3 linked regions of the Tamandua tetradactyla genome follow. The protein of the gene in region 3 purifies or fractionates together with the protein of the main gene of each other region. This does not show direct contact. Links are inferred from orthologs where the notes say so. Each region holds a gene or a part of one and is shown on either strand. Other genes may lie near its edges.

Evidence for each region.
Region 1: the proteins of AP2S1 (region 3) and AAK1 purify together in Homo sapiens (affinity purification with mass spectrometry; 4 studies listed by BioGRID and IntAct, counting the BioPlex papers as one, with this or other methods). This does not show direct contact. The link is inferred for Tamandua tetradactyla from reciprocal best matches to the Homo sapiens genes AP2S1 and AAK1.
Region 2: the proteins of AP2S1 (region 3) and BMP2K purify together in Homo sapiens (affinity purification with mass spectrometry; 4 studies listed by BioGRID and IntAct, counting the BioPlex papers as one, with this or other methods). This does not show direct contact. The link is inferred for Tamandua tetradactyla from reciprocal best matches to the Homo sapiens genes AP2S1 and BMP2K.

What each region holds. Positions count from the first base shown.
Region 1 is NC_135343.1:43,107,038-43,117,173, forward strand, and holds the start of AAK1 (AP2-associated protein kinase 1), read right to left. Parts: upstream 6,777-10,136; 5' UTR 6,706-6,776; intron 6,483-6,705; exon of another isoform or gene 6,330-6,482; intron 6,005-6,329; 5' UTR 5,776-6,004; coding exon 5,613-5,775; intron 1-5,612.
Region 2 is NC_135350.1:49,751,644-49,761,779, reverse strand, and holds the start of BMP2K (BMP-2-inducible protein kinase), read left to right. Parts: upstream 1-4,853; 5' UTR 4,854-5,417; coding exon 5,418-5,598; intron 5,599-10,136. UniProt on the Homo sapiens protein: May be involved in osteoblast differentiation.
Region 3 is NC_135342.1:14,400,217-14,410,352, forward strand, and holds the start of AP2S1 (AP-2 complex subunit sigma), read left to right. Parts: upstream 1-4,704; 5' UTR 4,705-4,879; coding exon 4,880-4,882; intron 4,883-8,198; coding exon 8,199-8,348; intron 8,349-10,136. UniProt on the Homo sapiens protein: Component of the adaptor protein complex 2 (AP-2). Adaptor protein complexes function in protein transport via transport vesicles in different membrane traffic pathways.

The sequences.
Region 1 (10,136 bases), on a different chromosome or scaffold from region 3:
CTCAAGGCAAGGCCATGTCTTAATCAACTCTGCACAATGCCTAATGAACAATGAGGGCCTTACACTTACTGAATAAGGCAAAGAATGAACAAACAAATCTTGATCCCCCAATTCCTACACCAAAGTGTGGCTCTGAAAAAGCAGATGAGAGACTATTTATTCTTTGCTACTTCACAGTGCTAGAAGCTACTTCAGTAGACAATTAATGTTCTGTTATAATTTGGGGCTCTTTCAGATGCAGATATCAGTTATTTTTTATGTAATCTCAGAAAACATCCTAAGAGGGCCTGGAAGTAGATGGTAGTTTCTAGATCCTTTTCTGAAGTGCCAACTTTCAAATAATGATAGTTAAAATGACTGCTCCGTTGCAATATTTTTTTCACGCCTGTTTTGCTAATATTCATCAAGCCTTTCCTGGGTACTCTACACGCAGTTTCAGCTATCAAGATGCAAGAGTATGCCCCCCCACACATATACCATCTCACCTGAATCCCACCTGAAACTCTCCTCATTACCTGTCATTAAATGAGCATGACTTCATAGAACGACCAAAGGACAGGATTCAACCATGGCAAGTCCTTATTCTGGACTTCATTTCTGAATCCTAGATTTGGCTATATTTAGCAAAGCTATAACCGTCATCATGCCCAAAGCCAGGAAGAAGACACCATTCACAAACCACCCCCTGAAAATCTGCAGTTGCCTCTAAAAACCAGACTTCCCGGCAGGCAAAGACATCCCAGTGGAAGGGATCAAATTGGTGTATGGGTCGAGAAGACCTTAGGTGCTTACCACTAACCTCTCTAACTGGCATTCAAAACCCTCTATAACCTTTCTTCCTATTCTTTCCATATACCACCTGTTCTGGTCAGACACCCTTCTGTTCACTCCTTTCTGTACCAGTGGTCATCTCATTCTCCTGCTTCTGTCCAAATTCTTCAAGCTCCCTGCCTCTCATCTGATTCCACCAGGAACCGTCCCTAACCACTCTCTCCCTAGGGACCAGATGCTCCCTTGCACCACAATTAGCAAAGGGCAAAGCCCAGTAGGAGACTAGTGCATACTTGATAGCTATTCAGCAGCTACTTTCAAAGGGTCCTGGGCAGCAAGCACATCAGGGACAAAATATAGGGAATTTAATTCTACCATTCTTAGTTTTCCTTTCCTCAATTCTGGAAGAGGGAGTTTGTGTTAACCAAAATGACACCACTAGTCAGTATTTCCAGAACTTGACCATACTGTTTCACCACACCACACCTTTGCACATGTTATTCTCTCAGCCTGGAAGGTCTTGCATAACTGTTGCATGGAACATCTGCTGGGCAATTTCCATTCCTGCTTACACTATACGTCATCTATAAACCCTCATCCTGGGGTCACTTCTCTTTATCATCTCATAACACCTTTCTAACAAACATCTATGGCCATCTACTGCAAATCAAAAGCTAGTGGGTCGTTTGATGCCTATGAACTCCTTAAGAGCCAGTCCCATGGCCCATTCTTCTATCTCCAGAACATATTATAGTGCCTGCCACAAAGAAGACACCATAAATACTCACTAAATTAATACATGCATACGTTATATTGCTAACTACCAACACCTTGCAACTAAATGCCTTACATATATTTTTAGGTGGTTCCACATACATTTTTAAGCTTTACTACCTTAGGTAAAAAAAAATTATCAAAGTTTACTGATATGGAGTCTTAGTTGTCCTCATTAGCCCTAGAGCTGGATTCCTATAGTGTAGGTAAGAAAACTGTCCTGGGGGGCACCTGGTCCACCTGATGCAGTTCTGGAATGTTGTCTTGGACATAGCAGGAATTCAACAAACAATAACATATTTTGTTTATATTTTTTAATTAAGCAATATTGCTTTAAGCTTAGATGTAAGGCCTCATTTAGCTAAGGAGGTATAATGAAAACACAGCTTCTCAATCCTTGGAGCACTGCTTCATTTTCCCATTGAGCACACACTGGAAGCTCAAACCAAATATTCACTTGACATCACATGCCTACTAACCTGGACAATTTAGCATCTCATCTTCACAGAGAAAGCTAGAGAGAAATTATCCTACCCAGCCCAGAGATAGCCATAACCCACTAACTTGGGATTTAGAATCTTCACTTCCCCCAGGCCAACAAGGCCCTGTGGACTAATTAGTGAAACCAGGCCAGCAGGACTAATGCTGGTGACAGAGAGATAGCTGTCTACATATTATCCTGTCTACATATTATCCTGTCTGCTCCAGCACCTGTTCCTTGGGGTTCCTGCAATTTCTTACTATGAAACATAGTCCCACATCCATATTAAAGCAAAAGGGATAATCAGTGGGATGGTAGCAACAGGGTCTGTATTAGAAGCCCCTATTCCCATCCCTTGCTGTACTGCCCGGCCACTATCTTGGATACTCCAGACACAGCTCTGACTGTCCTTAGACAGCTCTGGCTGGGGCTGGTAGACAGGTCACCACCTGGGGACTCAGAGGAGAAAGTTGAGGAAAGGATCAAGGCTACTCAAAATATCTACTGAACCTTTAAAGACCTCGTGAGGTCTTTGCAAAGAACGGGCTCTGCCCAAATACAATGGGGGAAAATGAATACTTCATAATGCTACAGCCAAAGTAGCCTTGACATTGTCTATACCACTGGTCCTTCCCACAGACTGTATATATGGCGTAATGTTGCTGGAAAGTAATGGCAACCATTTATTGAACACATGAGAAATATTTCTTTATATATATTATCTTATTTAATCTCCAAGACTACCCCAAGGGGCAGTGGTTCTCAAACTTTAGCTTGCATCAGAATCTCTCAGGGAAACATGCTAAAGTCCCAACCAGTTTATGGGATAAAGCCCCCAAATTTGCATTTCTAACAAGCTCCCAAAGTTATACATGCTGCTGGTCCAGGCGCCACACTTTGAGAACCACTGCCGTAGAGAAACTCATGAGAGATGTGAAATGCTGTGCCCAAAGTTCCACAGCTGATAAAGACCAGGGCCAGAATTTGAACCTAGACATTCTGACTCTCCAAGCCAGTGCTAGTAACCACCCTACTGTATGTGTGAATGTAGGCCTATCTTCCCAAATTCATAGGCAGCTTCTTAAGGCAGATACCACATTTTAGACCTTTCAGAACCTAGGAGTGCCTTTTTAGGTGGTAGGTGCTGCATACTTTGTCTACTGCTCCCTACATATCTGCACATTTCTATGAACCACAATTTCAAACTCAATTATAGTCAAAGACCATAAGGAAGGTAACACTGCCAGACCCGGTTTCTACAACCAGTTATTTAAAAAATTAATTAGTTAAGGCCAATCACCTCTTTTCCCTGTCTCTTCAAAGAGGGGTTAAAACCCTACCTCACCTCTGTGGAATCCTAACTTTAAAAGAAAAAAAAAATGTAAGTCTATTAATCTTCCCAAATGCATCACATTCTCTTTTGTTACTCTAAGACCTGGTTAAGTCCTGCTCAGTTCTATTTAGAAGTCACTTCCTCCAGTAGGCAACTCTTGGCTCCCTAAAACTGGGCTTATCTCCATGCTAACACTTACCACTCTACTATAAGTGGCTGTTTTCTCTCTCTCAAAGTAGTCTGTAACTCCAGTATCTAGTTCAATACAGAGACTAGTACTGTGTGAAGCACATTATAGGTGCTCCATAGTTATTTGGCAAATGAATTAATAAATAAGTGAAGAGCTGCAAGTCCTAAATTCCACATAAAAAACATCATAATATGTGATGTGGCAGTTCTCAGGGATAAATTTCAAGGAAGAGGAGGGCAATCTAGGTAACGAAAACCGATTTTTCCCTTTTCTTTTCCACATCACTCTTCTCCATCTCTGAGAACTGAGATCAGCACTGCTTAGGGTAGGAGAACCTGTAAGGAGACAATATGCTACATAAAGTAAATGCCCCTAGCCTATAAAGTCAGCAGAGGCCATTCTGAGGGGAGGAAAGAGCCAGGCACCTCCTCATTTTTCCTGATTTCTCTTACATACACACTCCCTCCCCTCCCCACCCTACCCCACCCCTCACCCTCACCCCCCACTGCAGTCAAGGGCTTTAGCACAGGGATGAAAAAGACAGATCAGACTCAAGGGTGCGGATCTGGCAGCGGGCACAGAAACATCTCCCATTCTGCACCAAAGCCCACAAAGAAGTATCCTGAGGGACAGTGACTCAGGCCCCAGATTAAGTCCAGTTAGAGCAGTAGTGAGAATGGAAAAGGGCAATAATTTCACAAAGACATAATTGTCAGACATCATTTTAAAAACAGTGTTTTTAAAGTACAGGCTTCAATCCAACCCCAGAGAACTAGGCCCTGCTGAATTCAGTGCTTACACAAGCAGAGAGCCAAACACAGCCTTTTCCTCCTCCCAGCCCACGGGCCTGCAATACTCACCATGACAGGCATCTTCCAGGCCCAGGTCAGGACCCTTCGTTCAACCTTAGCTTGCCAAAGGCTCCTTTTTAAAGGGGCCTCTTGGTTTTCTCTCCTCCTCCCCATACCCCAGCTAATAAATTGTTTCTCCCCTATGTTGCAGTAATAGAGGCCACCCCTTCCCCCATCTGCCTCTCAGTTCTATATCACAACCTACAGCAGGTTGGCCCCATCCAATTAGTTTGAATAGCTTCATGCCAAGGAAATTGCTGCTTTTATTAAAAATAAAAGCACACTAGGCAGGCAATGGGCTGTGAAAAGTATGAGTCTGGCATAATTATGAAGGTCGAGGTTAAGGTTAGCAAGAGACATGCAAAGATTTCCCTAAAGCCTGGGGTGGGGGAGATATATATCTACATTATTAATAGATCTACAGATGCACACACAACACAGGGAATTTACACAGCAGATCTAAATAACATGCTCTCCAACAGAAGAGAAACAAAATTAAAAGCACTGTTTTAGCACCTTAAGTAATCTTCTTTGGGTTAAAAAAATAAACAAGAAGGGCCTGCAAAACACTGAATTCAAAATAACTACATTCATTTCATATAATTTCTATCTTAACTACATCTTGGGAACCTGATTACAATTAAGTCAGGAAGCAAACCCAGTCAAATGCAAAACCCTTGGCTGTGGCAGCTGTAAATTTAGAAAAACACATTCCCATTCTCCAAAAATCCTCTTCCTTCCAAAGGCTGACCATGGAAGTGGAAAAGTTGGGTGGGAAGAGAAGCCCCTCTCTTTTCTTAAAGGTCTCCCATCCCCACCCTTTCAGCCTCCACATCGATAATTCAACTTTCATGGGGATGACAAACCTACTACCTTGTATTTGATATAAAGCTTTATACCTTCATACATACGTTTTCTCATCTCATCCTCATAATTCGGTGAGACAGCCAAGGGTGGCTTCTCAACATTTTTTAAAAAAATAAAAGGCCACTAAGGTAAACGATTTCCGGCAACCTCCCCACAACCTCCACACGCCCTGTCACTCTCAAATCTCAGTTTTAAATCTCTCAAGGACAATGAATCACAGGGCAAGAGAAGGGGGAAGGGAGGGTCAACTGGTCAAAACCCATTCATACATTCAACTAGACAACCAGGGTCCTGCCGTATCAGCAAGATTTTCATTTTCGGCGCACAGACGGAGTCCCACCGTACCTTCCGCCAACACCTCGTCCACAGTGACCTGCTGTCGCCCGATGCCAAAGACCCTTCCGATGTAGCCACTGCCCAGGCCTGAGGTGCTGCCCCCTCCTCCGCTGGAGCCAGAGCCCAAGCCAGAGCTTCCCTGCTCTCGCCGGGAGTCGAAAAACTTCTTCATCTTGCAAAAAGGAACAGCAAAAGAGCAAAAAGCCAATGGTTTCTAGATTTTTTTTTTTTTAAGGGAAACAAGAGATCCAAGGATTTCTTCTCGGATTTCAGCTCGGAAAGGAGCCACCCGAATCCGGGCGAGGGGGTGGGGGCTGAGGGAGGATGCCTATAGGAATATGCGTGTCAGTCGCGCGGCGGGTCCCCTCCTCCTCAGGAGAGCGATTCGTGTAAGTTTAAACCTGTGATGACAGAGGGAGAGAGAGAGAGAGGATGAATCAGTAACACACTTAAAAATTCAATTGCTGAGACCTAAGGGGGAGCCAAAGCCATCATCCCGGGGAAACGCTTCATGCATTATCTTGGGGTAGAAAAACCTCTGAGGCTGAAAACGCATCCCCGGCCCGGACCCCGGGATCGCCGAGACCCGGGATCGCCGAGACCCGAGCTCGGAGAAAGGAGAGACTCTGGCCGCCTCCTGCAGCGCCGACCCCGGCCGGGCACTACCTCCCCCTCCTCCCCGATCCTCCCCGCCACCCCGCGAGGCAGCATCCCGGCGGCACCCACTTGAGACGGCTCGGCGGCCAGCGCTCGGCTACCAGCCCAGCGACATTGTCACGGCCGTCGGATCGTACGACGCGGTTAGGAGGCGGCGCTGCAGCGAGAGCCGGGGCCGCGTTCGGCGCCCGCCAGCCCGCCAGCTGATCCTCCCAGCTTGCGGCGGAGACTGACCCGCCGCCCCTCCCCCGCGCGCGCTCCCGCCCGGCTCCATCCACCCAGCCAGGAAGTGAACCGCCGCCGGAAGTGCCTCTGGGGCTGCGCGGCCAGGGCCGAGCCTCCCCTGAGACCGCCGCCCTGTCGCGATAAACCGGAGGCAGCCGACTAGGGGGAGGATGGGGTCAGGGAATGGGGTCTCAGTGCGGACCGAGTTTTGGAAAAGTACCTTGATAGTCCCGGCGCGCAGGGCACCCTGGGAGATGTAGTTCTGAGCCGCCGCCGGCTGGACTACAACTCCCAGGATGCCCCTCGGGGAACGGGCGAAGTGCCTGCCGTGGCCTTCGCCGCCGTGAAGGTGGTTAGCTGGGTGGTGCAAATGTGGGGATTCGGTTATTTAAACACATCCGGTAAACAAACTGCCAGGTATCAGGATTTCTCCCCGCTGCACGGTCTACCCCCCTGGAGCCATCTTATTTGTGGCTTGGCCCCATGCAAAAGGGATCCTGGGGATTGTGGTTTCCAGACGGAATGAGGCTGACACCTGAAGGACGCGGCTTAACCGCTTAGCCCCTGGCGGATTCTGCCAGGATTGCCGACGTCACCTGGACAGAAGGTGGAGGAGGAGGGTGATCGGAAAAGAAATCTCCTGGCAGATGGTTATGGCAACAGCAGAACGCCAAGCCTAAAATAAATAAAACCGTCCGGTGCCTTCTGCCCCAAATCTCGAAAGCTACTTTTTTGCTCCCAGATGTTATTGAGAGCCGGCTCAAGAGTCAGCTCTTAAGCCAGGCGTTGAAAAAAACGCTCAGTAAAACAGTGCCTGATTCGGGAACCTACACACGAGGCTCAAACCGAGGAACTTATAAAGGCTGTGTGCAGACAGACCCTGGGATTCAGGAGACCCGGCCGGTTGTCTCCGCCTCAAACTTTGGGCTCCTATGTCCGCGGTGACCCTTAGTTCTTCCACCTTTGCTGATGCTATGCGGGAGCCTGACCGTCACTAACCCCGCCTCCCACAAAGGAAACCTAAGCCGACCTTGTGTTACTTTTTTTTCGTTTCGAGAGTCCTTTTGATGCTTATTTAGCCCCAATATCCCCTAAATGCTGACAGGGCTGGGCGATGTGCTTTGCATTGCCAAACCCGGAAAATTTGGAAGGCCTTGGTACTCTTCTCCGTCCTAGATTTCCTGATAGATGGCGCTGGAGGTCGTGCCAAATCCCTGCAAAATATTCCATGATTTTTCTATACCCTGATTATAGGTTCTCACCTCCACCTGTTCTCCACTCTCCCTAGTACTGCGACAACCCCTTGCTTGTAATTCATCCCAGAATTTCTTTGGCAGTAATTTGGAGTTGAGAAGAGTGCCCTGGGATAAATGCTTCTTGCTCTTTCTAATCTGAATATTGAGCCGACCTGTAACCAGGCTGGCCCTGGCAGCAGCTGCTGCTGCTACTGCTGCTTAATTAGATTTAAAGAAGTATCATTGTAATTACACTTCCTGTGTTGAGAGGGCATCTCTTCTTTCAGAAGGAGTCAGTGTTATTGCCTCACTTCACAAATCTAGGCAGCCACCTCAAAGATGGGATAAGGCACTTAACTAAAACATTCCCTCAAAGCAAACCCAGGTAAGCATCTTCTCTGCACTTCCCTTAAAAGGCTAGGTTTTGTCTGAGGAAGTTTGGCATAGATCTTAAAATAGAAGGGAAAGCTCATTTGGAATTACATTCATTGCCCCATTAATTTTGCACTGACTTTTTTCTCAACACCCATTAATTTTGACTGACTTTTTAAGGGAGGCTGTTGGATCCTAGAATCTGTTATCAACTCAGAATTTCATTTTCTAGACTTTCCATAGTACTGAGTTAGACCACCTTTGCCCAAATCCCAAGTCTCCTTCTGAAATACAAAAATATACCTTTTATCCAATAGGATAAGATAGCTAATGTGTATTTATTGAACATCCACCTGATTGCTTTGATCAGAATCTGAGGGAGGTGGTTGAAAACAGAAGAAAAAAAAAAAAAGACAATTCCTTTCCTTCCATTCTCTCAGAGACTGATAACACACTAATAGCTCTTATGATAAGGCCACAATTAGAAAGAGGTTTCCATATAATAAGTTATTTAATCCTCAAATCAACCCTATGACACAGGTACTATTATATAACCATTTTATAGACAGGGAAACAGAAGCACAGAGATATGTGATTTCCCCAACCTCACAGAGTTAGTAAGAGGCACAGCCAGGATCCAAACCCAAACATTTTGGCTTTAGAGCCCAGTGTTTGAGTACAATAAACTGCTTATATTGAAAATGCAAATATAAATATTTGAAAAGATTTGGGGATAGTTAGAAATACATCTACAAGCAGTGTAGTAGTAAGTGACAGAAAACCTCTGCTACTCCATAGATGTCACCTGAAGCCACTAAAATTTCTGGCCTATTTTCTCAATCATAAAACCAGAGTTCTTTTACGACATTCAGTAATTCTTTGGTTTCACAGTACAAAATAATCACAGATCACCACTCTATAATCTCAAAACTCCTACCATGCTTTTCTGTAAAATTTATCTCAATCTGCCATGCATTCCTATTCACCTTTTCATGTATATTGTCAATTCAACCAAGTATCTCGGAATGCAGGGGATAATGTACTATTTATTTTCTTGAACATCCAATACAGTAGTTTACATAGAGCGGGTCCTTACCTATACTTAAATAAGCAAATAATTGACTTTGAACTAATTGTGCCACGTAACCACACAGAAATAAACCAATGAATAGAATTGAAAGTTCAGAAATAAACCTTCACTTATATTTGCGAGAAGGGTGTCAAATCCATTCAATGGGGAAAGAAAAGTCCCTTCAACAAATGGTGCTGGGAAAATTGAATATCCACATGCAAAAGAATGAAGTTAACCCCTACTTCCCACTATATTCAAAAATTAACTCAAAATTGATGATCAAAGATCTAAACATAAGAACTGAAACTATAAAGCTTCTAGAAAAAATGTAGGAAAACATCATCAAGGCCTTGTGTTAGGCAATGGTTTCTTAGACTTTACATCAAAAGCACGAGTAACACAAGAAAAAAAATAGATAAATTGGACTTCATCAGAATTTAAAAATTTTGTGTATCAAAGGGCATTATCAAGAAAGTGAAAAGACAGCCACAGAATGGGAAAAAATATTTGGAAACCATATATCTGATAAGGGTTTAATATCCAGAAAATATAAAGAATGCCTACAACTCAAAAACAAAAGAGCAAACAACCCAATTTAAAAAATGAACAAAGGATTTAAATAGACATTTCTCGAAAAAGATATACAAATATGTCTAGAAAGCATATGAAAAAAATGATCAATATCACCCGTTGTTAGGGAAATGCACATCAAAACCCAATGAGGTACCACTTCACGACCACTAAAATGGCTGTTAGTTTTTAAATAATGGAATATAAACAGATGTTGGCAAGGGTGTGGAGATATAGGAACCCCCTTGCTTTGTCGGTGTGAATGTAAAATGGTGCAGCCCCTGTGGAAAACATGTTGGCTATTCTTCTAAAAATTAAGTATAGAATTGCCATATGGCCCGGCAATCCCACTTCTAGGTATATACCAAAAAAGTACTGAATGCAGGAACTCGAACAGATGTT
Region 2 (10,136 bases), on a different chromosome or scaffold from region 3:
AGTCCTGCCGCTGTATCCAGAGGCAGTCAAGCCTTTGTAGATGCACAGCTACAAAAACCTCTGTTTCCTTTTTTTTTTTTCTCCTTTTTCTGTCAGACCTGCCCCCTTGGCGCTGGGGCAAAAATGAGCAACCTCCGCTTTGATCAGGTTCACCTAAGCTGGGGGCCTATTTTTAGTAGTCAGAATTTGTTAATTAGTTCCACAATTGGCGTTTGATTGTGCCCAGTCCCTGCTGCTGGTAAAGTCCTTTCCTTTCCCTCCTGGGAAGTGGCCTGTGGGGGAGGGGCACTGGCCGCCGCAGCTTTGGGAACTCATGGTTCTGGCGGGTGCTCGCAGCCAGTCCAGCTGGTTCAGACTTGGGTACACTGTGTGTCCGGTCAGTATCGTGGCTCCAGGAGCTGTTCTGTACTGTTTCTGGTTATTTAGTAGTTGTTCTGGAGGACGAACTAAAATGCGCACGTTGTTAAGCCGCCATCTTGACCTGGAAAAACTCAGCTCTCATTTTAAACTCTGCTAAAGTTTTATAAAAATGAAACTGGGAGTGGGATAGTAAGTCGGCAATAAGAGAAAATGTAAAGGCAATCAAGAAGAGGATGGTAGGCAGGGTAGAACACACAGAAATATGATTGCTATCCCACATTGGGCAAATACTTCTCAGGAAATTACTGCTGCCAAGAGGTTCGAGGCTGCTGTTCTGTTTCTGGAAGTAGAGGCTCCTCCATTAAGCTATGTGGGGATCTCTTAGTGACGAAGTTGCCTACCTCCTGTGGCCTTTTTAAAAGTATGGTCAAGTTCTAAGAAAATTATAAGAAAATAATCATAGAAAGGTATTTCATGTCAAATGAATAATTTTTCCTATTAAGAATATTTGTGAGCAGCTTAGAATTTTAAACTATACAATCAGATTAATTTTTCATAGATGTATATGTAAATTTTCACATGACAGGGATGATGAGTAGTTTTAATAGAGGATTTAAGTATCAGTGATGTTCAAATACCATTTAAATATTGTGACATGTATATATCCTTTTAATGGACTTTAAAACTTTTACTTTTTGGAAGGCAAATATATGGACTTTAAAATTTTTGTAAACTTTTTTTATTGTAAGATATAACATGTATACAAAACAGCAATAAATCTTAAAGTACATTTTAACAAGTATTTATAGAACAGATTTCAAAGTTAGCTATAGGTTATGGTACTACAATTCCAGTTTTTTTCTTCTAGCTGCTCCAGGACACTGGAGACTAAACAGAAATATCAATATAATGACTCAGTAGTCAAACTCAAAATCCTATCTTTTCTGATATAATGCCTCCTCCTTTGATCCTTCTCTCAATCTTTAGGGAAATATATGGATATTTAATGAGGTATAATTAATAATGTTAGGCAAGGAGAGTAATTATTCCTGATAGTTAAACACAGTGAGGCCAATAACGATAGAAGATACATCATCAAAAGTAAAGGAGAAGGAGGGAAAATGATTAATCAGGCACTGGAAGAGATGACTTATCAAGGTAATTATGGCATTGGAATAAGCCTTTTGGGCTAAACATATTGTTCAATGTCAGTCTTTCTCATTCCACATATATCTTTGAGACCCACCCTAATGCAAAGTAGATGGGGCTTAAAACAAGGGTTGTAGTTTTCAAGTAGAAAACAAAACTATAATATTAATTTCTCTTCACTGGCAACATTGTTTAAGTATTTCAGAATCTTTCAGTTACCATGATCTATTAACTTTGTGGGAATAATGTGAAATCTTGCAAAGTAAAGTAACATTTAGATTTTTAAAAAAATCTTTATTATGTGGTTAGTTCCCAACTATTTTTTTAAAGAATATTTTTACTGAGAAATTTTCACACAATGCAGTCCATCCACAGTATGCAATCAGTGGCTCACAGTATCATCACATATTTGTGTATTCATCACCATGATAATTTTTGGAACATTTGCATCACTTCAGAAAAAGAAGTAAAAAGGAAAAAGAAAAAACTCATACAGTCCATACCCCTTACCCCTCCCTTTCATTGATCACTAGTATTTCAACTTGTGGTCATTTTTTTTTTTTTTTTTTACCCCTTATCCCCCCTATTTATTTATTTACCTTATTTTTTTTTACTCGTCTGCCCATAATCTGCACAAAAGGAGCATCAGGCACAAGATTTTCACAATCACACAGTCACACTGTAAAAGCTATATAGTTGAATAATTGTCTTCAAGAATCAATAAAATGCTACTGGAACATAGTCAACAGTTAAGGTACTTCCCTCTAGCCACATTGGAGTGATCATAGACTATCAAGGGATATCTATATAATGCATAAGAACAACTTCCACAAGGATAACCACTTGACTCTATTTGAAATCTCTCACCCACTGAAACTTTGTTTCATTTCTCTATTCACCCTTTGGGTGAAGAAGGCTTTTTCAATCCCATGATGCTGGATCCTGGCTCTACCCACGTTGCCAGGGAGATTTTCACCTGCCTAGTTGGCTTCAAGAGAGAGGTCACATCTGAGCAACAAAAGAGGTTCTCCGGGAGTGACTCTTAGGCCTAATTATAAGTAGGTTTAGCTTCTCCTTTGCAGGAATAAATTTCATAAAGGCAAAACCCAAGATCGAGGGCTCTGCCTATTGAATTGGTTGTCCTCACTGTTTGTGAGAATATCAGGAATTTCCCAGATGGGCAAGTGGAATATGTCCTACTTTCTCCCTAGTCCCCCAAGGGGACTTTGCAAACACTTTTTAATTCTCTGCCTAAATTACTCTGGGATGTATCAAGGTATCATACTAATCTGCATAAACAGTTTCCAACTATTTTGATAGCAATACAGCTGTATACATTTGAGAGGTTGAGCTATCTATAAAAAAACTGAAATGTAATTTTCTTTTACTTTTATTAACTATCCAAATCTAAATTTGGGTTAAGGATTCTTATTCTTAATTTACAAAGTTGCCAAGAGGATACAATCTGACAATAGATATCACCTTTTTGATATTAAAGATGTTTTTAAATACTTGGCATTCTTTTGTTTTTAGCAATAACTGTTTTGTGGCATTAACATTCTGTGATGATCAGAGGGTATTCAACTTTTATTATATGTTTGGCGAAAATTTAAAGAACATTGTTTGGAGTTACCTTAGTTTTTGACAGGAGCCATATGCCTTATTTTAATTATAAACTTCAATATAAAAACTTGAGTTATATTGGTACATTTTAGAAACGATTTTCTTTTATTCTCTATTCTCGTTATGCTGGGCTCTGATAAAATTGAATTAAGTCCAAACTTTTTATGTTAGGCTGATTCCGGTTTTGAATGGCACAAAATGTTTAAATTTCTCCATTATTCTGCTTGAAAATATAATTCAAATATTGCAGGAATGAGACTCCACAGTGAATCCCCACAGTAAGGAAAGTGGTCAGCTTATTTCTAAATGGAAATCCCCAATTGTCTTGCCACATCAGTCATCTGATATATAGCCAGACGTCTGTAGAGCTGGCTTGTACTAAAGGTCAAGTCTCTGGATGAAAAACTTAGTTTAGTGGGTTATTTAGCAGATATGCCTAAGTCCACAGCACTGTTTCAGTACGGGAAAAATTAGTTTCTCTTCAAATAATAAATGGGAAGAAGGCAAAGAGAATTTTAAAGTTCAAAGTCTCTTTTGTCTAAGCACGTTTTCTAACGTTTCTGTCTGTATCCCAAGTCAGATAAAGAAAGAGGGGTGAGGATGAAGATGGTAGAGGAAATTGGGGAGAATAGAATCACATTTCTCTACTTCCACAGAAAGAACATACTGAAGTCGTGCAGGCACGATTTATTCAGCCTAAAATACCTCCCTTAAGAAATTGGAGCCTCTGGCCACAGTGGACCTGTATTGCATTAGGAAAAGTAGATTGGAACTGAGGAACGAATTTACCAGTCTCCGACACTCCCTAACGTCTTGTTCCCAGCTTCTTTCTCGCTTTCGTATTGCCTGCCTCACCCCTGCATGCACAAGAGACTCCTGCAGAATTTATTAAGTTGTTGCAATAAGGCTTTTTAATTTTTAAAAATGAACAGATCGCCTTTTGAGGGGTGGGGTTGGGGGATTCCAATGGCTGTTTTTGCTTTCAGATAGTTCTAATTTTGCCTGTTTTGCAAAGTTCTCGACACTCTGATCCTACTTTTTCAAAACGGGCAAAATCACGGAACCAAGAATAAAAAGGATGGATGTTTTAGTTCCAGTTTTACCTCAAGCCAGCTTTGTGATCTTAAGGTAATTGGTTAACTTCTAGCCAAAGGTGATGAATGGTCTGTAAAGCGGACTTTATACCTGTTCTGAATACCTCACACGATTGCTGGACAGCACACATGGGGTTTTAAAGTACTCCCAAGTATTTATAAACTACAAAACAATTCCCAGCACAAGCGTCTGCAAGAGCGCGACGACACCGTGGCTTTAGAAGTCGGGTTTCTGGAATCCGCTCTAATTCTGCACTGCTTCTACTTCTCACGCTTATAGTGGGTGAGAGGGAGAAGATTTTCGGGGGGCGGGAAGGTGTCTGGAAAACTGGCCTAGAAAGTGAAAAAGTTCCTTAGTGGAGGTTAAGCTATTGGCGGCATTTTTAAGCCCCCATACTGACAGACCACTTCCCATTCGAGACGACACACTCACTAAGGGTAGCGGTGAAATCGAGCCCTGGACCACGCCCCTGTGCGAAGCTGAGCCCCACAGTTTAACCCGAACCCTCTTCAACCCAGACCCCAAACCTCGCCCTCGTCCCCAACCCCCACAGCCGCCTCCACGGCTCTCCATCCACGTGACAAGAGCTGAAACCGTCACTTCCGGCTTGGCGAATAGCGCGCTTGCGCGGGGCGCCGGGCCTCAGCGAGCGGTTGGCAGCGGTGCCGCGTTGCCAACAGCCACGAGTGGCGGGTGGTGGTGAGGGTCCGGGTCTTGCTCCGGCGGCGGCGGCGCCTCAGGCTGCAGCCCTGAGGGTGTACAGCCGGAAAGGTCTAGCTCACTCCCCGGGGGGGGGCTGACCGCCCTTCTCTGTCTCCTTCACTGACCCCCTCCTCCTGGGCTCGCGGTTCTACCGCTTCGCAAAGCGGCTGGAGCGCCGGGGGCACTGGGGGAGGAGGCGGTGTAGCCCCCGCACTTGGACCCGCCCCCTCGCGCCCCGCCCCGTCCCCGCCTTCCCCGCCACCCTCTGCGGGAGTGGGGTAACTGCAGCGAAGCCGCGGAGCGGGCGGCTGGGCCGGGGCTGTGTGCTTTTGGTGTGCGGAATGCGAGGCTTGGCGGGCCGCAACGCGCAGGGACGCTCGGACGCGTGAGGAGCGGCGACCCCTCGCGGACGCTTGGCCGCGCGCCGGACTGGGGGCTAGCTCTCTCGTTCCGTTGCGCGCTCCGCTCTCCAGCGCGGCGGCGGGACCATGAAGAAGTTCTCTCGGATGCCGAAGTCGGAGGGCGGCGGCGGCGGCGGCGGCGGCAGCGGCGGTGCGGCTGGTGTCGTGGTGGCCGGAGCCGGCTCCGGCTCAAGTGGTTCGTCCCTGGGGGTCCGCGTGTTTGCGGTTGGGCGCTACCAGGTCACCCTGGAGGAGTCGCTGGCCGAAGGTACGGGCACCGGGGAGTCTCGGCCAGGCAGGTGAGGGAGGGCTGGGGTGTGGCGGTGTCTTCGCTCGATCCTCGCCGGCCTTTCCCCTGGTCTTCTTGGCCCACTCTTCTTTCTCTCTACCTCCTCTTGTGGCCCAGAGGGGTTTCTTAAGTAGCTCGGACTTTCGTTCTTAAGCTGCCTTTTTTTTTTTTTCTCCGCTGGCAGCTTTGATCAGTGCCCCGTTCTCTCATTACGAGTTTAAATCATTTTCTGTCCTTGACGCGAGGAAATAAATAGAAAACGTCCTAGCAAGTGAGGTGGTGTCATGATTGGACCAGTGACTCATTAGCGGGTCAGATCCAGCAAGATTGAGGCTCCGCTTTGCCAGCTGTGGTTCAGGCGGGTGTCATGCATTGGTTTCTTCTGAGTCCCGCGCCGCAGGGCGCAGGACCCTGCAGTCCCTAGTCGTGGAGTCTGGCTTTGCTGTTGCTCTGTCATCAGTTTGAAACAACCGATGGGGTGAGGGTAGGGGGGCTGGAGGTGGTACTTTGCCCTAAATTCAGTTAGTAGGTTACTTTGGGAGAGCAGGTAAATTAGAAGCCCTTTATCTGTGTTAATTCAAAATCTTTTCTATCACACAAGGTGCTTATTCATGCTCTTCCAGTATGTTTCTATAGTAGCACTTTAAAAGGTTAGTTTATCCTTGCGCAGTTTTGTGATCCATCTTTCATTCTCTCTAACAGGTTGTGACAGCAGTTACAAGTCTGCTTACAAAAAGTTTACTCCATTAAGGAAAAGAGAGCGAGATCCTACAAATTAGTCTTATATTTCTTGTACAGGTGGCTTATAGTAAATTCTCTCGTTTATGGTACACTACATTGATTTTGAGGTTATTAAATTGCAAAATGATACTACAAATAAATACTTTAAACAATCATAAGAAATAATATTTTTTGCATTGGCAGGCACCGGGGAATCGTACCCTGGTCTCTAGCAAGGCAGGCAAGAACTCTGCCTGCTGAGACACGGTGGCCTGCCCAGAGATAATTTCTTTTAAAGTAATCTTTTTAAGTTCCAAAGTTAAGAGAAAAGAAGTGGAGGAAAGTAGCTGTGGTTTGCCCATATTCAGATGTTGGTGTGAAAATCTAGACTGAACAATAGCAAACCAAACCACAGCAAGTAAGAGCAAGAGAGAAACCTGGAGATTTTTGTATACAAAATATTGCAAAAAGAAAGAAATCTTGAATTATTCAGGCCTGGATATGATGATCCTACCTGAATCTTGGAAAAGTGAAAAGGGAAGAATCATTAGCTTCTCAGCAGAATGACTGTGTGGTTCTTAGTCCTGATAGATTTGCTATGTTGTGAAATTTCCTAGATCTATGTTATATATAAGTTTTGAGTGGTGGTTTGAATTGGGTTGAAGGTTTTAAGAAGTAGTACATCTTAGGTAGTGTTGCGTTCACTCATTTCACTAAATCCAAGAGGGGTCTTTTATTTAGTAAAAAGAAAACATTGACATTTTTTTCTAGCTAGATTTTGACTTTATAGCGTGTATCAAATTTTAGTACTGCCCAAAGCAAGTCATTTTCAATAAAAAATAACTGACTTTAGGAATACGTATTTTTACAAGTCTATAATAGAAGATAGAAATTAATAGAAAATAGAAAGTAATTTCAAAAGGGGTGTTTTCACTAAATCACAAAAAAAATAACTTCTCAAACCCTAAGTCACTGTTAGAGTTCCACCGTTTTTGCTATCATTTTGCCCTTTCTTTTGAAAAAGTCAATAATCAGATACTAGTTATAGATGACGATAGGAAACAAAATATGTTTTGGTGAATCTCTGGATAGAGTAACAAGAGAATAGGATTAAGTCAAGAGAGGAAGCAATGGTTGAAGAAAAACCAGAAACTCCTGTAGCTCCCCCCACCCCCCACTCCCACATCCCCATTAAGCTTTCCCTGGAGGGTACACTAGTGACTAGGCTTTCTTTTCCTGTGCCTTTCTTGTTTCTTTAGCACATACACAACTGGAATTATTATAACTGTATTCAGTTTACTTTTCAATTCTGACAGATTTATTCTGATTTCAGATGCTTAATAGCTTCTTTCCTGCAAAATAAGTAATGCCTCAGTTAGACAGCTTGCTTAAACACAACTCTGGTTCAATTCAAGCATGATCAATTAATAATTGACGCATACATCTGCCTGATTAAAGACTGGAACAAGTGCTGGTGAAAAGGCATTAGAGTATCTGTATTGTAGAGAGTGATACCACAGAGTGAGAAAGTAGTGAAAGCTAAGGCAGATCAAAAAACAAACTTGATAGATTTTACATTTTTATTTTTGCTTTGTGTCAGTGTTGAACAAGATCAGGGCCAGCTGATACTGTGCCCTGAGGTGTTTTTGCCATGCTGTTGCAAATATAGGTAGCTTTCTCAGAAAGACCTCTGCAGTCTTTTCAATAAGTCAGTCTCCATCAGTCTTTCTCTCTCTTTTTATATATAATGTGTATTTAAGATTTTTTTTAAAATAAAAGGCTCTCAGGAGTATACTTAGGTTGTACTCTGTAACTAACTGTTGGAGTAGTTTATTTCCTGAAATATATTAAATGCTTTGTATAGTTTTAATTTCTTCCTAGGCAAATACGAGATATGTTTGAAAATACCACATGGTTGCATGCTAACAACTTCCACCTTTTTAGTTCCTGCTCAAAGTTAGCAGGACTGATAAAACATAGGCATTTTCATGGTCATTTTCAAAATGGTTTGGTATCAGAAGGGTATGCTAAGCAAATCCTAACTTTGGTCTGTAGAAATGAGGTAGAGTCATATATAATTTTAGCTTGACAGTGTCAAGTTTCAAAACATTTGTCAAGCACATACAATCAATGTAACCTTCTGAGTTCTTAATAAAATTTTAATCATAAATGTTGCCGAAGAAGGCCTTCAGTGCTAATCAGAGGAATTTAATATTGATTGATAATGAGAAAAAGTTGGTTCTTGAGCTGGAGACTTGTAAAAATATGTATCCTTAGTACAAATGGACTAAAATAAATGGAGAATGTAGAGACTCAGAGACCAGTGCTAACTTGTTGAGATAATCAAGAAACAAAGTGATGAGGGCTGAATAGGTATGGTAGTGTGAATGTGGAGATATGGGTGATACTTAACAACAAATGGGCATGGGGCTTGATGGCGTCAATAATTGAAAGCCATGAGTTTACTACAGAGTTCTGTAAAAATAGCTTTCTCTGAGTTAACTCCTCAGATTAGGATGAATGAATTTAGTCTAGGTAGTGAAAGATAGTAATTGTTAGTTTTACATAAAGGAGTGATGTACATCTGATTTTGTAATATAGTAGGAAGATGATGTGTTTAGCATGAGATCTCATTTGCAGAAATCCTCTGAAACTACTCAGTAACTTCTAGTTTGAACTTCCTGAGCGAGGACAGAGTTTTAAAGAAGAAAGAAAATTTCACAAAAATGTCAATAATTGTTAAACTCAGCAACTACTTATTAAATGCCGTTTGTGTGCCAGGCACTGTGCTATGTGCTACTTATACAGTAGGGAACAAACCATATATATTTCTGGTTGTATGGAGTTTATAGTCTAGTGTGTGAGGCAAATGTTAAACAGAAATCACTACGTTAATGTAGCTAACAATTTTGATAGGTGTTATGAGGAGAAAGCACAGGGTTTTATGAGAAAATGCTGATTCAGTTTATGTGTGTGGGGGAATCAAGGAAGACCTTTTTGATTTTTTTAGCAGAAATCTAAAGAATGAGAGAAGTTATAAGCTAAAAGCAGAGGTGTGAGGGTAAGGGTGGCATGGAGCATGTCATACAGAGAGAAGGTGCTACATTGGGGAGAGTAACAGGAAATATGCTCAGATCTGTGAATTAAAATGAGTGAATCACACAGAAGTACCCAACATGATGTTGGAGAGGTGATCAGAGTCCAGGACTTTGTATACCATGTTGAAGATTTTGAGTTTTATCAAAAATGCCATTGTAAACTATTGAAGGATTTTAGTTAGGTCAGCAATATGCTCCGATTTAAGTTTTTTACAAGATCATTTTCACTGCTATATAGGGAATCGCTGAGAGGTGTAAAAATTAGATGCTTATTGCACTAGTCAAGATGGTAGCAATGCGGGTGGAGATGAACGTTAGAAGACTTGAATGGGCAGATCTGGTGGTAGATTGGATGGGGGGAAGTAGTAGTAATTGTCCAGAATGAGCATCTGGATGGAGGTGCTATTTACTGAGATGGGAAAAAGTAGAGAAGAAACAGGTGATTTTTTGGGGGGATGGGGTATATCCAGTAGTTCCAGGCATGTTTAGTTGAGCCATCTGGGAGCATACGTCATGGGAACTTGGGTATATGGTCTGGAACTCAGCAAGAGATAGATACTGCTAATTGCTGAACATTTGGTGTTTGTTATTAAAGGCCTGGGATAGAGTGTAGAATATAGAGGAAGGGCTTAATTGACGGACTCCAGTGGAACATTGGTTGTCAAATGCTAGTGTGCATGAGAATCATTTGGAGGGCTT
Region 3 (10,136 bases):
CCTAATCAAACCTCCAACCTATAGTCCTGAATAGGGGTTAGAAGAAACCGTTGAATCCACAAGATTGATTAGGATGAAAACATGGCTTTTCTAGAGTACATAAATCCTTTCAAACCAGCACACCATTTAAACTGTCTCTTTTGTGAAGTGCCTGTTCAAACCTTTTGCCCAATTTTTCTATCATATTAGATTTTCTTTTCTTTTTAATTACACAATGCATGAATTTGTCCTTGTAAAAATTTAAAATACCCCAGCTAAGATTCAGGTTCCTTAGACAACCCACCCCAATCTCACTTGCCTCTCCAGAGGTGTGTTTTCTTCCAAACCTCTCTCACTACATTTAGACACATACAGTATAGCATAGTGGCTAGAGGCATGGACTCTGGAGCTGGAATGCTTGGGCTTGAATCCCAGCTCCACCATTATGATCTGTGTAATCTTGGTTAAGGTACCCAACTTCTCTCTACCTCACTTTCCTCATCTGTAACATGGGACACCATGTGCCCCTGCTCTAAGAAGGACTCCACATCACTTCTGTGATATTCATGCCAAAAATGTTAACCTGAATCTATTTATTGAAAAACATCAGACAAATTCTAATTGCAAAGCCACTGACCCAAACACTTCAAAATGTGAATGTCTTAAATGACTATTTGAGATTAAAGGAGACTAAAGGAACACGATGACTAAATGCAACCCCTGACCTTGAATTGCATTTTGGAGCAAAAACAAAATCTACAGGGGATGTTACTGGAAAAATCAGGGGTTTTTTTTCCAGTAACATCCCCTGTTTACTAGGTAATGGTAGAGTAGTAAGGTTAAATTTTCTGAATGCGATTATTGTATTTTGGCGATGGAGGAGAATGTCCTTGTTCTTAGGAAGAATATGTTGAAGCATGAAGGCTTTGGGGTGAAGTATGAAGGTACCTGCCACTAACTAAAAAATAATTTAAATGGTGAAGGAGAGTAAATCTGGCAAAATGTTAATGATTGGCAAGTCTAAGTGAAGTATATATTGGAGTTTATTGTACTGATATTGCAGCTTTTTTGGTGAGTAGGATTTCTTTCAAAATACAAAGTTGGAGAGATAAATAAAAAGAAAAACCAAGTAGTATAATGTGACAGTATCATTGTGCACCTCCCATTGCTTTAACATGTCTTGGGGATGATCCATGTCAATGCATGAAAATCTAGCTGATTTATCTTGTTTTAAAAAAAATTGTATTGAAATATCTTCATGAACCATACAGTGCATCCAAACTATAAAAGCAATGGATCATAATATCATCACATAGTTGTGTATTCATTGCCATGATCATTTTTAGAACATTTGAATCACTCCAGAAAAATAAATAAAAAGAAATATATATATATATCCCATACCCCTTACCTCTCCCTCTCATTGACCCACTACTATTGCAGTCTACTCAATTTTTCACCCCTTATCCTCTCCCTATTCTTTATTTTTTTGTCACTTTTTAAAAATTCATCTCTTCATACCCTGGATAAAAGAAGCATCAGCCACAAGGTTTTCACAATCACATGGTCACGTTGTAAAAGCTATAGTCATACAATCGTCTTCAAGAATCAAGGCTACTGGAACACAGCTCAACAGTTTCAGGTATTTCCCACTAGCCACTCCAATACATCATAAACTAAAAAGGGGTATCTGTATAATGCATAAGAATAACCAGGATAACCTCTAGGCTCAGTTTGAAATCTCTCAGCTACTGAAACTTCATTTTGTCTTTTCTCTCCCCTTCTTTGGTCAAGAAGATTTTCTCAATCCCATGATGCCAGATCCCAAACTCATCCCCCAGAATCATGTCCCATGTTGTCAGGGAGAGTTATAGCCCTGGAAGTCATGTCCCATGTAGGGGGTGGGGCAGTGAGTTCACCTGCCGAGTTAGCTTAGAGGCCACATCTGTGGCTTATTCATTTTAACAGCTGTGTAATACTTTGTTATGTGACTGAATCCTGGAATAGGTGACTTCTCTCCTATTGATACATGTTTCATCTGTTCTCATTTTTTTTTCTACAATAGTAATGGCCATGACCAAGAAAAGAATTTTCCCAGGGACCATTCTAAAGTAGAAGAGTTGGGACTGATACTTCTTGTCTGTCTATGGCATCTAACCTCAGACTCCAAGCCACTCAGATCATGAGGACAGAGATGAAGTCTGCTTGATATTCTACCCACATTTCTTCTCCTGCTTGAATCCTCTGTCCCCTCCCCTCAGTAATCTACTGATCCTTCTTCCGAGGGGGACTTCTGGGATGAGATCATAAAAGACATTTCAACTTCCACCTTGCCCTCTCTTGAGTCCTTCATTTCGGGGGGAAATAGCTGCCATGTGAAGATGCTCACATGTATTTATGGAGAGATCCACTTGGTGAGCAGCTGAGGCCTCCTGCTAATGGCCACACTAGTGTGCAGGCCAGCAAGTGAGCTGTTTGGGAAGCAGATCGTCCATCCCCAATCAAGCCTTCAGATGACCACAGCCCTGGCCAACTTGCTGACTGCAACCTCATGAAAGACATCAGGCCAAGACCACTAGCTAAGCTGCTCCTTAATTCCTGACTCACAGAAACTCTGGGAGACACTAAATGTTTATTGTGGTTTTGTGCCACTAAGTGTTTGGGAATTCATTACACAACCACAGAGAACCAATACAACACTCAAAGTATCCTGTAGTTTTTCATCACAGGATTGTTATTTCTTATCTATTTGTGTAACATCATTTAAACCTATGCCCCATTGCTAGGCCATGAATGCTTTCACAGCGGGATCAGTACCTGTTTTCTTGCTGCCGGTTCGTTCTTCCATTCATTCATTCATTCATTCAGCAAATGCCAAGTGCTACCTATGCTGGGCATTAAGATGAGTCCTGGAGATCAAGACCAGAACGAATGTGAGGCAAATTTAGTGCCCAGGGAACACGATTTAAGGAAGCACTCACTTTCATCCTCATGCAAGGGCTGAGTGGACACCTCAGAGTGAGCGCCTTTTAACTTTTCTCATTTTTTGTGCATGAGTGATTTTTTAATTTGACACCCTGGGTGCCTTACTTGGTTCACCCTAGTCCAGCCCTGTTGGTAATGGAGCAGTGCAAAAGTCAGAATAATCTCTGGGCTCTGTTTGCCCTTGTGTTGAATAGCCACTCATGTGTTTGTTCTTCTGTCAATATCACATTTTCAACTTACATACTTTGATAATATGGTGATTATTATTAGGGAAATTATGCTCTTGTTACTAATTCTAATTATTTTATTGGGTGCTTACTATGTGCTGACAATCTTCTAGGTGATAAAGATAACAGTTAACAGACAGGAGCCCTACTCTCAGCGAGCTCACCACCTCACCTCATGGGGGATCTAGACGACATACACACACAGACAAATAAAATCATTAATAGTTGTAATTACAGCTATAAAGAAACCAAACTAACAGCTAATCTAGAGAGAAATGGAGGGAGAGAGCTTTTTTCTTTGAAATATATAGGTACTCATTTACTAACAATCAACTTTTAATATCTAGGATTATAACAGTAACATTAAGTATGTTCCTGAAAGTTACAAGCTAAACAATGAAAAACTCTAAAATTAGAAATCAGGGTCCTGCACCCCTTCTCAACTTGAAAAAGTCAGAAGAGGCATCCCCCCCAAAATCTCTATAGATTGGGAGAAGGCTTAAAGGAGACATTAGGAGGTACAACAGAGAAAATGGGATTTCACAAATAAGTATGACTGCTGAATCCCTATATTAGTATTCCTTCTAGCCTCCAGTGTTTGGGAGCAGCTAGAAGGAAAAATCTGAAATGGTGGAATGGTAGCCCATGACAAACTCTGGGATCTGTTTTGTAACTACTTGTTTAAATGAGCTTTCAAAATTATTGCTTTTTTCTTGCTTTGCTTTATATATAGACATATATTTCAAATAAAAATAAAAATTCAGGGTCTTATATGTAGGTTTGCAGAGGTGGTAATTCCAGGCCAGCCATGGAAACTATGGGGGAAGGCGCTCCAGGGAACAGCAAGTGCAAAGGCACTGAGGTGAGAAGGCACTTGCATATTGGAATCACTGAAAGAAGACTAGTGTACCCCTGGCTAGGGAGTGAATGAGAAAACCCTATCACATGACATCGCTTAACAGTGAACATTCATAACGTTAAAGCATTTTACTTGAGCACTTTTTATGTGGCGGGCACTGTGTTAACTTTGGAATCTTTTCGAAGCTTTAAAACCACCCGACCAAGACAGATATTATGATAATCCCTGTTTCCCAAATGAAGACTTGAGATTGGAGAGGTGAAATCCCTGGCCAAAAGTCACCAAGGCTAGTGCGAGGGCAAGATTTCCACACAATTCTGACTCTCAAATTCACTCTCTTAAGCCACTGACCATCTCTTACAGGGAAACCTTCCACATATTTAAAACAAAGCACTGCGTGAGCCCAGAAAGACACTTTCTCGTTTCCTACCACAAATTTCTTATTCAAAACGTGTGGGAGGGGAAGGGGAGCTCTGCCTTAACTACATTTCCCAGAAGGCAACACTCACTACGATGGTTGTCATCCATGTCGGGAATTGTAGTCCTCTGAGGAAATGTTCCCCCAGAACTCTCCCCATGCAGCAGGGAAGTGGGTAAAGGACAGTCGCGCAGCATGCTGGGAAGAGGACCAGGCTCTTTCCCCACATAGCTTGCGTACGGATGTACAAACGCTTTCGTGGAACTACAACTCCCAGAGGGCCGTGCGCGAGAGGGCGAGGCGGGTCTTTTACCGGAAGTCCGCTCTGCCCTGGGCCCCCGACAGCAGCCAGAGCCGGAGCCACCCAGTCGCCACGGGATCTGGGCCACTGGGGTCCGGACGGGGGTCGCCATGGTAACGGGGCGTGCCCACGCCGGGGACTGGCGGAGGGGGGTCAGCGTGCAGACACCTGGGCGCTAACAAAGCCCCCAGCCACGGCACGATGGTCTGGGCCCGGCGCGGGCTCGCAGGGTTGGGGCTGATCTAGGATCGAGAAAGGAGGGACAGGGTCGTGATTCTGCACGCGGGGGTGGGCCAGGGTCCCGAAGCGAGGGGGCATTGGAGACGGGAAGGGTATGGCAAGGGAAGAGGGCAATACAGGTGGGAGACATCGGAGGCGGTTGAGGGTGTTTAAAACTGGAGAGGTAACTCTCGAGGAAGGGTCTCGGGAGTAGGCAGACGGCTCTGGAAGTGGGGAGCGGGCGTCTCAGAAGGAGGGCTCTCCAGGGAGGAGTTAGGAGCGTTGGGGAAGAAGGGGAGACATTGAAACAGGGCAGGGGGGAGGGCAAGAGAGAGCAAGCCGGCCTTGCAGGCTAGGAAATGGAGTTGAAACTGGGGCAGGACACTGCAGATGGAGGGAGATAATCTCCAGGGGAAGGGACTGGATGCTAGAGGCCAGAAGTAAGGCACTGCAGGGAATGGGGCTTTAAATAAATCAGGGAAAGTATGCTGCAAAAAGGAGAGTGAGTGAATACTAGAAATAAATGGAGGTGCATTGGGGCAGGGCTTTCCAAGAGATGGGTTCTTTGTGGATAGGAAGTAGATGTACTCTTGGAGCAAGGACTGAGCATTGGATTTGTGGAGGGGGCTTTGGAACAGGAGAAAGGGCCTCTGGACAGGGAGTTAGGAAAAGAGATGAATGGAGGAAGGGGTCAGAACAGGATGTGTGTGTGGTGGGGTGAGTCTCCCCAAGGAAGTAGTACCTTGAAGGCAGGATGGTGCCTGTTAGAACAGGAGAGGAGTTGAGTCAGAGGAGGGATGTCTCAATGAAAGGACCAATTGAGGTCAGAGAGGGGGAATTGAACATGAAAAAATAAAGGTCAAAAGGGAATGTCTCAGGCAGGCCACGGTGGCTCAGCAGGCAAGAATGCTTGTCTGCCATGCCAGAGGACCCGGGTTCGATTCCCGGTGCCTACCCATGTAAAAAAAAAAAAAAAGGGAATGTCTCCAGGGAAGATGGAAAGGTTGGGGGTCATTCAGAGGGATGAGGGTACAGGAGGGAGGGGGTGTCTCAGAGTAGATTTCCAGAGGTGGAGAGATTCTAGCTGGGAGGAGAAACAGGGAAAAGGTATATGAGAGCACTTAGGGGTGACAGGCAGAGCCCTCCCTCAGCTCTGTAGGCCTGCTTCTAGCACCTCTGGCTCTGTCCCCAGGCTGTGGCTGCCTGGTGTGGATCCTGCTCTCCCACCCCCATGCCCATATACTCCTTCCTGCCCTGCCAGGAAGTGGTTTTCCTTGGTTCAGCAGAAGAGGTTCTTGGAAGTAAAGTGTAATATCCTGTTCCCTTCCAGCTTGATTGGTTAGGGGAGGAGAGGTAGAGCATATGGAGAAAGAGATTTAAGAAAGAGGCTGAGACTCCAAGTAAAAGATGGAGGCTCTACAAAGCATGTTAAAAGGGTTCAGAGCAAAGCTCTGCTTTCTGCCTTTGGAGACTTCCTTTCCTTGTGCCTTGGATTCCTCACCTATGAAATGGGCATAAGCATGCCTGTCTCAACCAGAAGTGAGCCCAAAGGCAGGCTTCCGAGCTGGGTGAGTTTGGGCCCTGGTTTTTCTCAAAGCCAAATAATGATGAATTATAATACTAATAAAAACTAATACTTACATGACATTTAACAAGTGCTAGTCCTATACTACACCCCTTATGTTTATTAACTCGTGCAGCAGTCCTGTGAGGGAGTTATTCTTATTGTGTCCATTATACCGAAAGAGCAAACTGAGGCCCCTAGAGGTTAAGTGACTTAACCAGGGTTACACATCTCACTAGCAGTGAATGCTGGGACTCATTCTGGCTCCGCTATGTGTGCATTTAGCCATTTGGCTCAAATGCGTCCCGGTCATAATACTGGCTCATTTTACTGAGCACTTTTGGCATTAGCTCATTGATTTTTTACAGCAGCCTATGTGGGTTGACCTGGCCTTGCAGTAGTGTCATAACAAATTTTCTCTCGTCAGAACAGATGAGAATTACAGCTGACACTGAGCACTTACTCTCAGCCTTGAATCAGGTGCTGAGTGCTTCTCACCTCTTGTTTCCTTATCACATCCTTATGAGAATCTATTTTCCAGATGAATAAACAAAGGCACTAAGCAGTTAAGGTACTTAAAAAATGGCAGATACTTTGGAAAACAGTTTAGCAGTTCCTAAAAAAAGTTGATCAGCTTTACCAGTGGCTTAGCAATTCCACTTCTTGGGTCTATAGCCCAAGAATTGAAAGCCGGTGTTCAAATAAAAGCTTGTATACAAACGTGCATAGCAGGACTATTCACAACAGCCCCAAAGTGGAAACAACTAAATGCCCATCAACAAATGAGTGGGACAAACAAGTTGTGGTATGGATGGCCGTGCGATGGGATTTTGTTCTCCCATAGCGAGGAAGGAGTGTCAATACAAGCCACCACATGGCTGAACCTCAGAAACATCATTGTGATGTAAAAAAAAAAAAAAGCCAGGCACAGAGATCACTTAGTATGTGTTTCCATTTACCTGCAATGTCCAGGATAGGCAAATCCATAGAGTCAGAGAGCAGATTTGTGGTTACTGACGGTTGCGGGTGGAAGCGGAGGGCAAGCTGGGGGATTTCTCTTTGGAGTGATGAAAACGTTCTTAGAATTAGATAGTGGTGCTTTTTGCACAACTCTTTGGATATGCTGAATTGTATACACTTTAAATGGGTGAATTTTATGGTGTATGAATTATATCTCAATTTTTTTTAAATTAGTAAGGGGGAAAAAAGTGGCTGAGCCAGGACTCAGACACTTATTGAGTGCCTGCAGTGTGGCAGACACTGAATTAAGTTTATAAACATTTAACCCTCAAAACAGCCTGACAAGGAAGGTCTTCTTAGGAAATGCATTTTGTAGGCGAGGAAACTGAGGCTTAGAGGGATAGGGCCCTTGTCCAAGTTCCCGCAGATGAGAGGTGGTAAAGACTGATTCTAGCGGCTTCCTCTCTACTAGGTGGAAGAGAAGTCACTCCCTGGGTGTTGGCAGGACTGGGGATGAAAGGGGAGGCCAGACCCCCGGAAGGGCAAGCACAGAGCAGCAGAGAGGGGGGACCCCTTCTTCCCTGTGTGGGTGGGGCAGCTGGTGTGCCCTGCCTGGCCCGTGCCCTCCTTCCTGCCCTCCCTGCCCTGCCACCCGCCTGCCTCTCACTTCCTCCTTCTGTCCCCAGATCCGCTTCATCCTCATCCAGAACCGGGCGGGCAAGACGCGCTTGGCCAAGTGGTACATGCAATTTGATGACGATGAGAAACAGAAGCTGATCGAGGAGGTGCATGCAGTGGTCACCGTCCGAGATGCCAAACACACCAACTTTGTGGAGGTGACGGACCCCCCTGCACACACACACACACCTGCCCCCGACCCCTTCCTTCCCTGCCTGCTGCCCTCCCACTGATGGCAATCACCCTTCAGACCCTCCTCCTTTCCTACACTCATGCATGCGATGCATTTTGACTTTTAGCTTTCTCTCCTTTCTTTTCTTTTTACTTTTCACTGTGAGCATTTGCAAGCGTATAGATGACTATAATGAGTGAAAAGTTGGTTGAGGATGAATATACCTGCCACGGATCTAATTGGTATTATTTTGCCATCTGCTCTACCTTTTTCAGTTTTCGCTAAAGGATTTTTTTCCTGGTCCCCTTTTAACCCTTATTATAGAAATTTTCAAACACCTGAAAGGAGATGGAAAAGAGTAGTGGACCTCCAAGTGCCCATCCCCCTTGCTAAAGCATTTTGAATTAAATTACACACACCCTAATGTTTCTCCCCTTAGTATGTCCAGTTGTATCTGAAAAAATGAAAGCATTTGCTTACGTTGCCACAGTGCTATTATCGTACTGGAAATATTAATAATAATTTCTTATCATTGCTATCATGCCCAATCAATATTTAAATTTCCCCCAATTTTCCCAAATGAGTTTTTAAAAATGATTTGTTCAACTCTTGTTCAACTCTAGTAGAAAATCTTGCCTTGCTTTTGATTGCTGAGTCTCCTTGCTATGTCTAAAGCTATGTCTTTACCTTTTCGTTCTCACAACATTAACCAGAGCAAGCAGACTGTCCTGCAGAATTCGACAAATATTTTTCCAGGGTCTACTGTGGGCCAGGCACTGCAGATACAGCGGTGGCCAAGACAGACGAAGTTCCCAGCCCTCGGGTTGCTGTCATTCTAGATGGGGGGTGACACTTAAGCGTATGGTGTCTCGGGTAGTGACGAACACCAAGGAGGAAACTAAGCAGCCACAGGAGTGAGTCGTGCTGGGGCATGCGTGCCATGGAGTGGAGGGCAGTTTAAATATTTTGGTTGGAGAAGGTCTCAGTGAAAAGGTGATTCCAAGACCTGGAATCGAAGAGAGCAAAAGGAGCTGCTCTATGAGGGAACATTTCGAGCCAAGGGGGCAGCACGTGTGAAGGTCCTGAGGCAGGGACATACCCCGGGCATTCTAGGAAAAGCAAGAAGTCCAAATGTCTGAGGTGGAGTAAGCCAGGGAAAGGGTGGGAGGAGATAAAGTCAAAGATGTGACGAGGACAGATGGCATAGAGCCTCGTGGGCTAAAGTGAGGACTCTGAGTGAGATGGGAGCCAGAGCAGAAGTACGGAAACCACTTGGGAAACAACCCCAGTGGTCCAGCTCAGTCTTATTGATCACTGGAACCATGATGGGAGCACTGGAGGTGGCAGAAGTGTTTCGGAATTGGAACCAACTGAATGGAAAAGGAGCCAGGAAGGATGTCTAGATTTTTGTCTTCTTCAGCCAGTAGGTTGGAGCTGTCATTTTTAAAGTGGGGCAGACTTTGGAAAGAACAGGTTTGTGGGTGTAGATCAGGAGTGAGGTATTGGGACAGTAAGATTCAAGGTGTCCATTACACATCTAGGCAGAGACATCCAGGAGGTAGTGATAAGTCCAGAGTTCAGGGGGAGAGCTGGGCAGATAGCAAGATTGTGGAAGTTTCTGCACATCACTTATTAAAGTCATGGAACTCACCAAGGAGTGAGGATAGAGGAGAGTAAAGAAGAGAAGAGGACCAAGGCTGGCTCCCCATCTGGAAGTAGCGTGATGGGGGCTTGGAGGATACCAGCTCTCCTGGTGCAGCCTGCTGCCCACGCA